2 linked regions of the Saccharomyces cerevisiae S288C genome follow. The protein of the gene in region 1 interacts with the protein of each later gene in a biochemical or structural test. Each region holds a gene or a part of one and is shown on either strand. Other genes may lie near its edges.

Region 1 (5,293 bases):
CCCCAATGCTTCCAGTAATACCATGGGCTATAATACAATGTCCAATAATGGATCCCATTCGTGGAAACGAAGGTCACTGGGATCGTTAGATGTTAATACGCTGGATGACGAAGCGGTGGAAGAACTTTTGCAACTGACAAATACGAGTAAGAGGCAGAGGCCGATGACAACTGCAGCAGAGGGTGCGTTAATAAATGATGGTCCGGACACTAATTTAAACGCGAATAACACCCAAATGAAAGTTGATTTAAATCCTTCAAACAGCATGGGACCTATAGATACAGAAGCCGTGATACGCCCATTGAAAGAAGCTTATGACGCAATCATTTCTGAAAAAGGCCAAAGAATTGTGCAATTAGAAAGAGAATTGGAATTACAGCGCCAAGAGACGCAGTGGTTAAGGAAAATGTTAATTGAAGACATGGGTTGTGTTAGAAGTATGTTAAGGGATTTACAAAGATGACACGATAATAATGTTTAACATATATTGCTTTCTCTTTTAATTTTCTGGTGTAGATTGGCGGTATAATTAACTATTTAACAGTGACGTTTACTATCTTACTGTTTCTTGTACTCTTTTATAATGAACAGACGTTATTATATAACTACGAACTAATGATAATTCTTTTTACGTTATTCCTGATGTAAAGGATACAAAATGGGTTTCTTTATTTTGCAGCAGAACCGTAAAATTTACGCTACTTTTACCGTGGGTCCTCTTATTTGATTGTTTCCGTCGCTACGAGCGAACAAGGGGTGGAGACAATAGGGATGGTGAATATATACACATACGTTCATATATAAGAAAAAAACTCAAGAAGAATATCAAACGACCAGGATCCTTGCTTATATTATTGTCTGTTGCTGGGCCAACACATATTTTCATTTCAACACACCAATCTCAGGTATTAAAGAGAAATCATTGTAAGGTAAAAATGTCTACGTTGAAAGTTGTTTCATCAAAGCTTGCAGCTGAAATCGACAAAGAATTGATGGGTCCTCAAATCGGATTCACTCTACAACAGCTAATGGAGTTAGCTGGGTTTAGTGTCGCGCAGGCTGTATGTCGCCAGTTTCCACTGAGAGGCAAGACAGAAACGGAAAAGGGCAAACATGTATTTGTTATTGCTGGGCCAGGTAACAATGGCGGGGATGGTCTCGTGTGCGCAAGACATTTGAAGCTTTTTGGTTACAACCCTGTTGTTTTCTACCCCAAGAGAAGCGAGCGCACTGAATTCTACAAACAGCTGGTTCACCAATTGAATTTTTTCAAAGTTCCTGTCCTGTCTCAAGATGAGGGAAACTGGCTGGAATATTTGAAGCCGGAAAAGACCTTATGCATTGTAGATGCAATATTTGGTTTTAGTTTCAAGCCTCCCATGAGAGAGCCATTCAAGGGCATTGTCGAAGAACTGTGCAAAGTGCAAAACATTATCCCGATTGTTTCGGTGGACGTCCCCACAGGTTGGGACGTTGACAAAGGTCCGATCTCTCAGCCCTCAATTAATCCTGCTGTTCTTGTATCTCTGACTGTCCCCAAGCCATGCAGCTCTCACATAAGGGAGAATCAAACAACTCATTACGTGGGGGGAAGATTCATTCCTCGAGATTTCGCCAATAAATTCGGCTTTGAGCCATTTGGATATGAATCCACAGACCAAATATTGAAACTCTGATAGCCCAAATCTATAATGCCACTACCATACATAATTTTTATATAATCCCTTATTTTGTGAACAAATAGCCATCATGATTCTCTTTTAAGATGATAAAACCGTCGTTTCTTTTTCTGACGCGCCATCTTTTCTTTTTCTATCTGTCTTTTTTTTTTTTCCTTTGGTGTTTCATCCGAAGAAGAAACAAAAGAAAGAAGACCAATACTTTCTAAAGGGCAATTGCAAGGTAGATATAACTAGAATTGCACAATAGAGATTGCTTGCATCAGTGGCATAGTTAACAATATTTTCTCGGCCTCCTTTGACGTAAAATCTAAAAGACCTAGTGCTTTCAAAACCCGCGCATACTGAAAAAAAAAAAAATAAAGAAGAGTGTACTGAACTGGTACTATAATTCATCGAAACTCATTTATTCCATATTAAACCGGTAGAAAACAGTATTTTTTTTGGTCTGTGTTTGAAACAGAAATTCTAACTGAAAAGTTTAGGATTTACGTATAGTAAGAGTAATGTCATTACCGGGTACACCTACTACATCTCCGACCCCGATGGATGAGGATACTGAACAAGCCGTTTCGGTTAATACTGAACCCAAAAGAGTAAAGGTTTACATTTTAGAGAACAACGAATGGAAAGACACAGGTACAGGGTTTTGTATAGGGGAGGTGGACGAAGGTAAGTTCGCATATCTTGTTGTCTCAGATGAAGACTCCCCAACTGAAACTTTACTAAAATCCAAACTAGAAGGAAATATTGAATATCAACGGCAGGAGGAAACGCTTATTGTTTGGAAGGATTTAGGGGGGAAAGATATAGCCTTGAGTTTTGAAGAAAGTATGGGATGTGACACCTTATGTGAATTCATTGTTCACGTCCAAAGGAACATAGAGTCAAATATTTCTTTAGTCACCGTAAAATCCAGCGACAACGGACTCGGGTCTGTTCACGACATTATAACGGGCCCTGTGACCTTGCCCTCCAACGACCAGCAACAGAATAGTCAAACTTTACTAGAAGCTCTAAAGATTTTGAATGAAAATACTTCTTTCGATTTTTTGAAAAACGAAACCATTGAGTTTATCCTCCAGTCAAATTACATTGATACACTGATTTCTCATTTCCACAAAGCAGAAGAAGAAAAGATACCGAAGGATTTATTTTTGCTAAGTAACATCATCAAAACTTTGATACTTTACAATAAAAGAGACATATTGGAGTCAATGGTGGAGGACGATAGGATTATGGGAATAGTTGGGATTTTAGAATACGATACTGAATACCCTACATCAAAGGCAAATCATAGGAAATATTTAGGATCAAAAGGTCCCAATTTCAAAGAGGTTATTCCATTGGAAAATGAGGACTTAAAAATAATAATGAAAAAATGTTTTCGCTTACAGTTCTTAAAAGACGTGGTATTAGTACGATTTTTAGACGATCATAATTTCAACTTAATCTCGGAAATTGTCATGGACCTGGAAACGTGTATAATCGACTTTCTTCAAGTAGGGACGTTTTTGGACAGACTAATAGAGCTTTATGATACCAAAACCCTTCCAGAAAGCTCTTCAGAGAAGGAGAAGTTTGTACAAAAACGAAAAGACGGGATTAGATTGTTGCAACAGTGTGTTCAAATGTCAATCAATTTAGATGCGGTTGACCGTTCTAAGTTCTATAAAACACTTGTTCGAAAGGGTCTATTCAAAGTTTTAGATTATGCATTTCACATGGAGACGGATAGTAATGTTAGGATTTTAGCTACGGATACTATCATTACTATAATCGAACACGATATCTTGTTAATTCACAACGTTCAGAATGAAGATTCTTTCAAACGGCAACATAAATCAGCGCCCGATGACAAGTCTTCCCATCGGAAATATCCGCAGGATTACAGCTCCAGTACTGATTCCAAGTTGTTATTGATACTTTCAACCATTCTTCTGTCCGACAGGAGTCCCGGATTGCGAGAACAAGTTGTGCAAGCGCTAAATACTTTGCTTCACCCTGAAGGATGTGTGGGTAATGGAGAAGGTTCATATGATCTTATGGGCAGATCAAATTATGAAGCTAAGAACACATCTGAAGATTTCCCAAGTTTCAGTTATGGTTTAAACTCGGATTCAATCAATTTAAATAACTATCACTATAGCAGCGATGAAATGAATAATCTAGAGCCAGAATCTGAATCTGAATTTCAAGTAATGGAATATTTTGCAAATTTCTATAATAAAATCGCACCCATACTGTTTGGTCCATTAATCAAGAAGGATATCACAACGGAAATGGCAGAAATAGATGGGCAAATAGAAAAGGTTACAAAAGACGATCTTTTGTTAATTCATTTAGTGAAATTGGTATCATTTGTTTGCACTGAGCATGATCGTGTCTTATCCAGAAGATTCATATTAGAAAACGGTATACTAGATTCTGTTAGCAAACTTATCGGCGGTAATCATATGATGCAGCTAAGGTTAACAGCAGTAAGATGCATTAAAAACCTTATGTGTCTCGATGATAAATACTATCATCGATATATGATTTCAAAAAATTTATATGCGCCGGTTTTTAAACTCTTCCAGGAGAACATAGATAAGAATAATCTTGCAAATTCATGCATTCAAGATTTTTTCCGCATTATTATAACAGAATGTAGAGCTTATCAAAGTGATGGCCATAACAGAAAGGAAAAAACCAATGGTTCTTATGATGGCAACGGTAATGACGTCAAAACGAACGTGAACAACAATAGGACAAACTTTACCATTTTAAACAAATACTTAGTTCAAACATATGGTGATGTCTTGAGAAAAGCTACTGATATCCCTTTCATCCAGGATATGCTAGAAACCGGGGAAGAAAACCAACCCGATCATTCTAGCTTTGAAAATAGCATTGAAGGGGGGAATGACATTTCTGTAAATATGTCAACAGATGGATTTGCTTCGAATCATTTAGAAGATATTGACATTAAAAACGTCAAAAGATTACATTCTGAGATTGAACACTTTGAAAATGACCCCCATTATTCTGGTGATCAGTTAGCATTTAAAAAAAGCGTTGACCAAATGAATGCAAGTACTTGAGTTTTTCCTTGTTGGAAAGAAGAATAAAAAGCTAGCACAACGGTCATGGTTGTAAGAAGTTTAACAACGATAGTGCACTCATTGTATATAAAATTCATCAATATACAATTAACTATCAAAAAGCATACGAGAAAGTGTCATATAATAATAGTACTCAATACCTATACGTATTATAATTTAGATGTCATACTCTTTATTAAGGCTTCTGGATACAACTCATGTCCAAAATAGGTCCCTAAATGCCACATACCACCGTCAACAACTAAGACGGTACCGGTGACATACGATGCGGCGGGTGAAAAAATATAAACAGTAGATTCGGCTATATCCCGTGTAGATCCAAGCCTTTGTAATGGTATCTTTGCCAAGGCCTTTTCCTTATATTTTTTGCCGGCTAATCTCTTCAAGCCTTCCGTATTATCGATAGCACCTGGAGCAATGCAATTCGAACGTATACCCAGAGGCCCCAACTCAACCGCTAAATTCTTTGCCAATGCGTCTATTCCCGCTTTAGCAGCGCCCACATGTCCT
Region 2 (3,572 bases), on another chromosome or scaffold:
TAACGTATTGAAAGATGCCATTGTGGTTAACCCATGGGATTCGGTGGCCGTGGCTAAATCTATTAACATGGCTTTGAAATTGGACAAGGAAGAAAAGTCCAATTTAGAATCAAAATTATGGAAAGAAGTTCCTACAATTCAAGATTGGACTAATAAGTTTTTGAGTTCATTAAAGGAACAGGCGTCATCTAATGATGATATGGAAAGGAAAATGACTCCAGCACTTAATAGACCTGTTCTTTTAGAAAATTACAAGCAGGCTAAGCGTAGATTGTTCCTTTTTGATTACGATGGTACTTTGACCCCAATTGTCAAAGACCCAGCTGCAGCTATTCCATCGGCAAGACTTTATACAATTCTACAAAAATTATGTGCTGATCCTCATAATCAAATCTGGATTATTTCTGGTCGTGACCAGAAGTTTTTGAACAAGTGGTTAGGCGGTAAACTTCCTCAACTGGGTCTAAGTGCGGAGCATGGATGTTTCATGAAAGATGTTTCTTGCCAAGATTGGGTCAATTTGACCGAAAAAGTTGATATGTCTTGGCAAGTACGCGTCAATGAAGTGATGGAAGAATTTACCACAAGGACCCCAGGTTCATTCATCGAAAGAAAGAAAGTCGCTCTAACTTGGCATTATAGACGTACCGTTCCAGAATTGGGTGAATTCCACGCCAAAGAACTGAAAGAAAAATTGTTATCATTTACTGATGACTTTGATTTAGAGGTCATGGATGGTAAAGCAAACATTGAAGTTCGTCCAAGATTCGTCAACAAAGGTGAAATAGTCAAGAGACTAGTCTGGCATCAACATGGCAAACCACAGGACATGTTGAAGGGAATCAGTGAAAAACTACCTAAGGATGAAATGCCTGATTTTGTATTATGTTTGGGTGATGACTTCACTGACGAAGACATGTTTAGACAGTTGAATACCATTGAAACTTGTTGGAAAGAAAAATATCCTGACCAAAAAAATCAATGGGGCAACTACGGATTCTATCCTGTCACTGTGGGATCTGCATCCAAGAAAACTGTCGCAAAGGCTCATTTAACCGATCCTCAGCAAGTCCTGGAGACTTTAGGTTTACTTGTTGGTGATGTCTCTCTCTTCCAAAGTGCTGGTACGGTCGACCTGGATTCCAGAGGTCATGTCAAGAATAGTGAGAGCAGTTTGAAATCAAAGCTAGCATCTAAAGCTTATGTTATGAAAAGATCGGCTTCTTACACCGGCGCAAAGGTTTGAAACACCCTTTTTAACGAAATGGTTATGACTAGACAGACATCTTACGTCTTACTCCTTCATGCTTTATTTTTTTCTTTGTATTGTATTTGAACAGTCAATATGTGGTGTTGCGACGAAGGCATATATATAATAGTCTCAACCCACCATTTTCGAAGATTTACATACACATTATATTTTTATAAACTTCCAATATGTAATAACTTTATATGATATGTAACTTCTCACTATTATCCTTACTATTAAACGGTTTTTAATAAATATCATTGTTCTTTGTTTTATTAATGAGAAAAAGAAATTTAATACAATGTCCGGCGGGAAGAAAAAAAATCGATGAATTAATTGAAAAAAAGTATCTTTATCATGTGAACTGAGGAGAAGAACGGCATCTCGAAAAGAGCACGTCGAAACAGCGGTAGGTAAAAGAGGGTACTACCAGAGGTCTTTTCTCTTTATACGTTAACCTCTCAGCTTTTTCTTTTGCAATTCAGGACACTTTAACTTGTAGTCACACGCTAGTCCACGTAGCAAAGTAAAACAGCACGAAAAAAGTGATTACAAATTTCAAGGGAGATATGATGGACTTAGATAAGATTATAGCATCACTGAGAGACGGAAAACATATTCCTGAAGAAACCGTTTTTAGGCTATGTTTAAATTCACAGGAACTATTAATGAATGAAGGCAATGTAACACAAGTCGATACACCGGTTACAATATGCGGTGATATACATGGCCAATTACACGATCTACTAACGCTCTTCGAAAAGAGTGGTGGTGTAGAGAAAACAAGGTATATTTTCTTGGGCGATTTTGTGGATAGGGGATTTTACTCATTGGAGAGTTTTTTACTTTTACTATGTTACAAATTAAGATATCCTGATAGGATTACTTTAATTAGAGGCAATCACGAAACCCGGCAAATTACTAAAGTATACGGATTTTACGATGAAGTAGTAAGAAAATATGGTAATAGTAACGTATGGAGGTACTGCTGTGAAGTTTTTGATTATTTATCATTGGGGGCAATAATAAACAATAGCATATTCTGTGTTCATGGTGGATTATCTCCGGATATGACCACGGTTGATGAAATACGAACAATAGACAGGAAACAAGAAGTTCCACATGAAGGTGCTATGTGTGACTTATTATGGAGCGACCCCGAAGACGTTGACACATGGTCATTATCACCAAGAGGTGCTGGATTTCTTTTCGGTAAAAGAGAAGTTGATCAATTCTTAGAGAAAAACAACGTTGAGTTAATTGCTAGAGCTCATCAGTTAGTGATGGAAGGTTACAAAGAAATGTTCGACGGTGGATTAGTGACAGTCTGGTCGGCACCGAATTACTGTTATCGTTGTGGTAATGTAGCAGCTGTATTGAAGATAGACGACGATTTGAATCGTGAATATACAATTTTTGAAGCTGTTCAGGCACAAAATGAAGTCGGAAATGCTATAATTCCAACCAAAAAATCTCAAATGGACTATTTCTTATAAATTTTTAACAGGCACTCTAATTGTCAAGTGCATTTTTCTTTTTTTCTTCATAATGCAATAAAGGAAAAAAAATTGTAATATTACATACTTCTTTTCACATCTTAGCTAATTAACAATATGGCTTTTGAATACTAATATATACCCAGCTACCGTTTCTTCTTTTATTTTTTATTCCTTTTTTTCTTCAGTAGAATATGTTATAGATGCGGAGGTCCCCTAAGTTCTTCACGTGTTCTCTTCTCATCGCGTTTGATATGAAAAATAGAAAAAAATACATAGTAGCATGACTAACTAATAATAAGCTCCGCTATCAAAGATGTCAAGTACATTAAGGAAAGCTTTTAGATAAGGAAAAGAACTTATTAATAATATATAATATGAAAATATGTCGCTTGGTATACCACTTTCCCAATTAATAGTAGAAAGTCCAAAGCCATTAAGTAGCGGCATCACAGGATTAGATGAGATATTAAACCTGGGATTCCAGGCAAGGTCGATCTACGAAATATTTGGGCCTCCGGGCATTGGCAAGACTAATTTTGGCATTCAATTGGTGTGTAATTCGTTAGAAGGCATACAACAATCGGAAATAAACGACGATAAAATTCTATGGATAGAAACATTTCAAGAAATGCCCATAAACATACTAAGAGAACGCTTTCAAAAATTTAAAATCGTGGAAGAAAATGTGAAGCGGGTCCGAATAACGAAATTTGGACAGCTATTATATTTCTTCCAGAATTTGTTCAAATTATCTCAAAGTGTGCGATATAAACTAGTTATAATTGATGGATTTTCTCAATTAGTCTGCGATCATCTGTGTACAC

The links.
Region 2: the proteins of PSY2 (region 1) and PPH3 form a complex in vitro, tested with the Saccharomyces cerevisiae proteins (2 studies listed by BioGRID).

Annotation. Positions count from the first base shown.
Region 1 is NC_001146.8:260,096-265,388, reverse strand, and holds PSY2 (Psy2p), read left to right. Parts: upstream 1-2,185; coding exon 2,186-4,762; downstream 4,763-5,293. Other genes in the region: GCR2 (Gcr2p), read left to right, coding at 1-463; NNR1 (NADHX epimerase), read left to right, coding at 936-1,676; SPS19 (2,4-dienoyl-CoA reductase (NADPH)), read right to left, coding at 4,933-5,293.
Region 2 is NC_001136.10:595,338-598,909, forward strand, and holds PPH3 (phosphoprotein phosphatase PP4 catalytic subunit PPH3), read left to right. Parts: upstream 1-1,818; coding exon 1,819-2,745; downstream 2,746-3,572. Other genes in the region: trehalose-phosphatase TPS2, read left to right, coding at 1-1,246; putative DNA-dependent ATPase RAD55, read left to right, coding at 3,131-3,572. UniProt on the Saccharomyces cerevisiae protein: Forms the histone H2A phosphatase complex in association with the regulatory subunits PSY2 and PSY4, which dephosphorylates H2AS128ph (gamma-H2A) that has been displaced from sites of DNA lesions in the double-stranded DNA break repair process.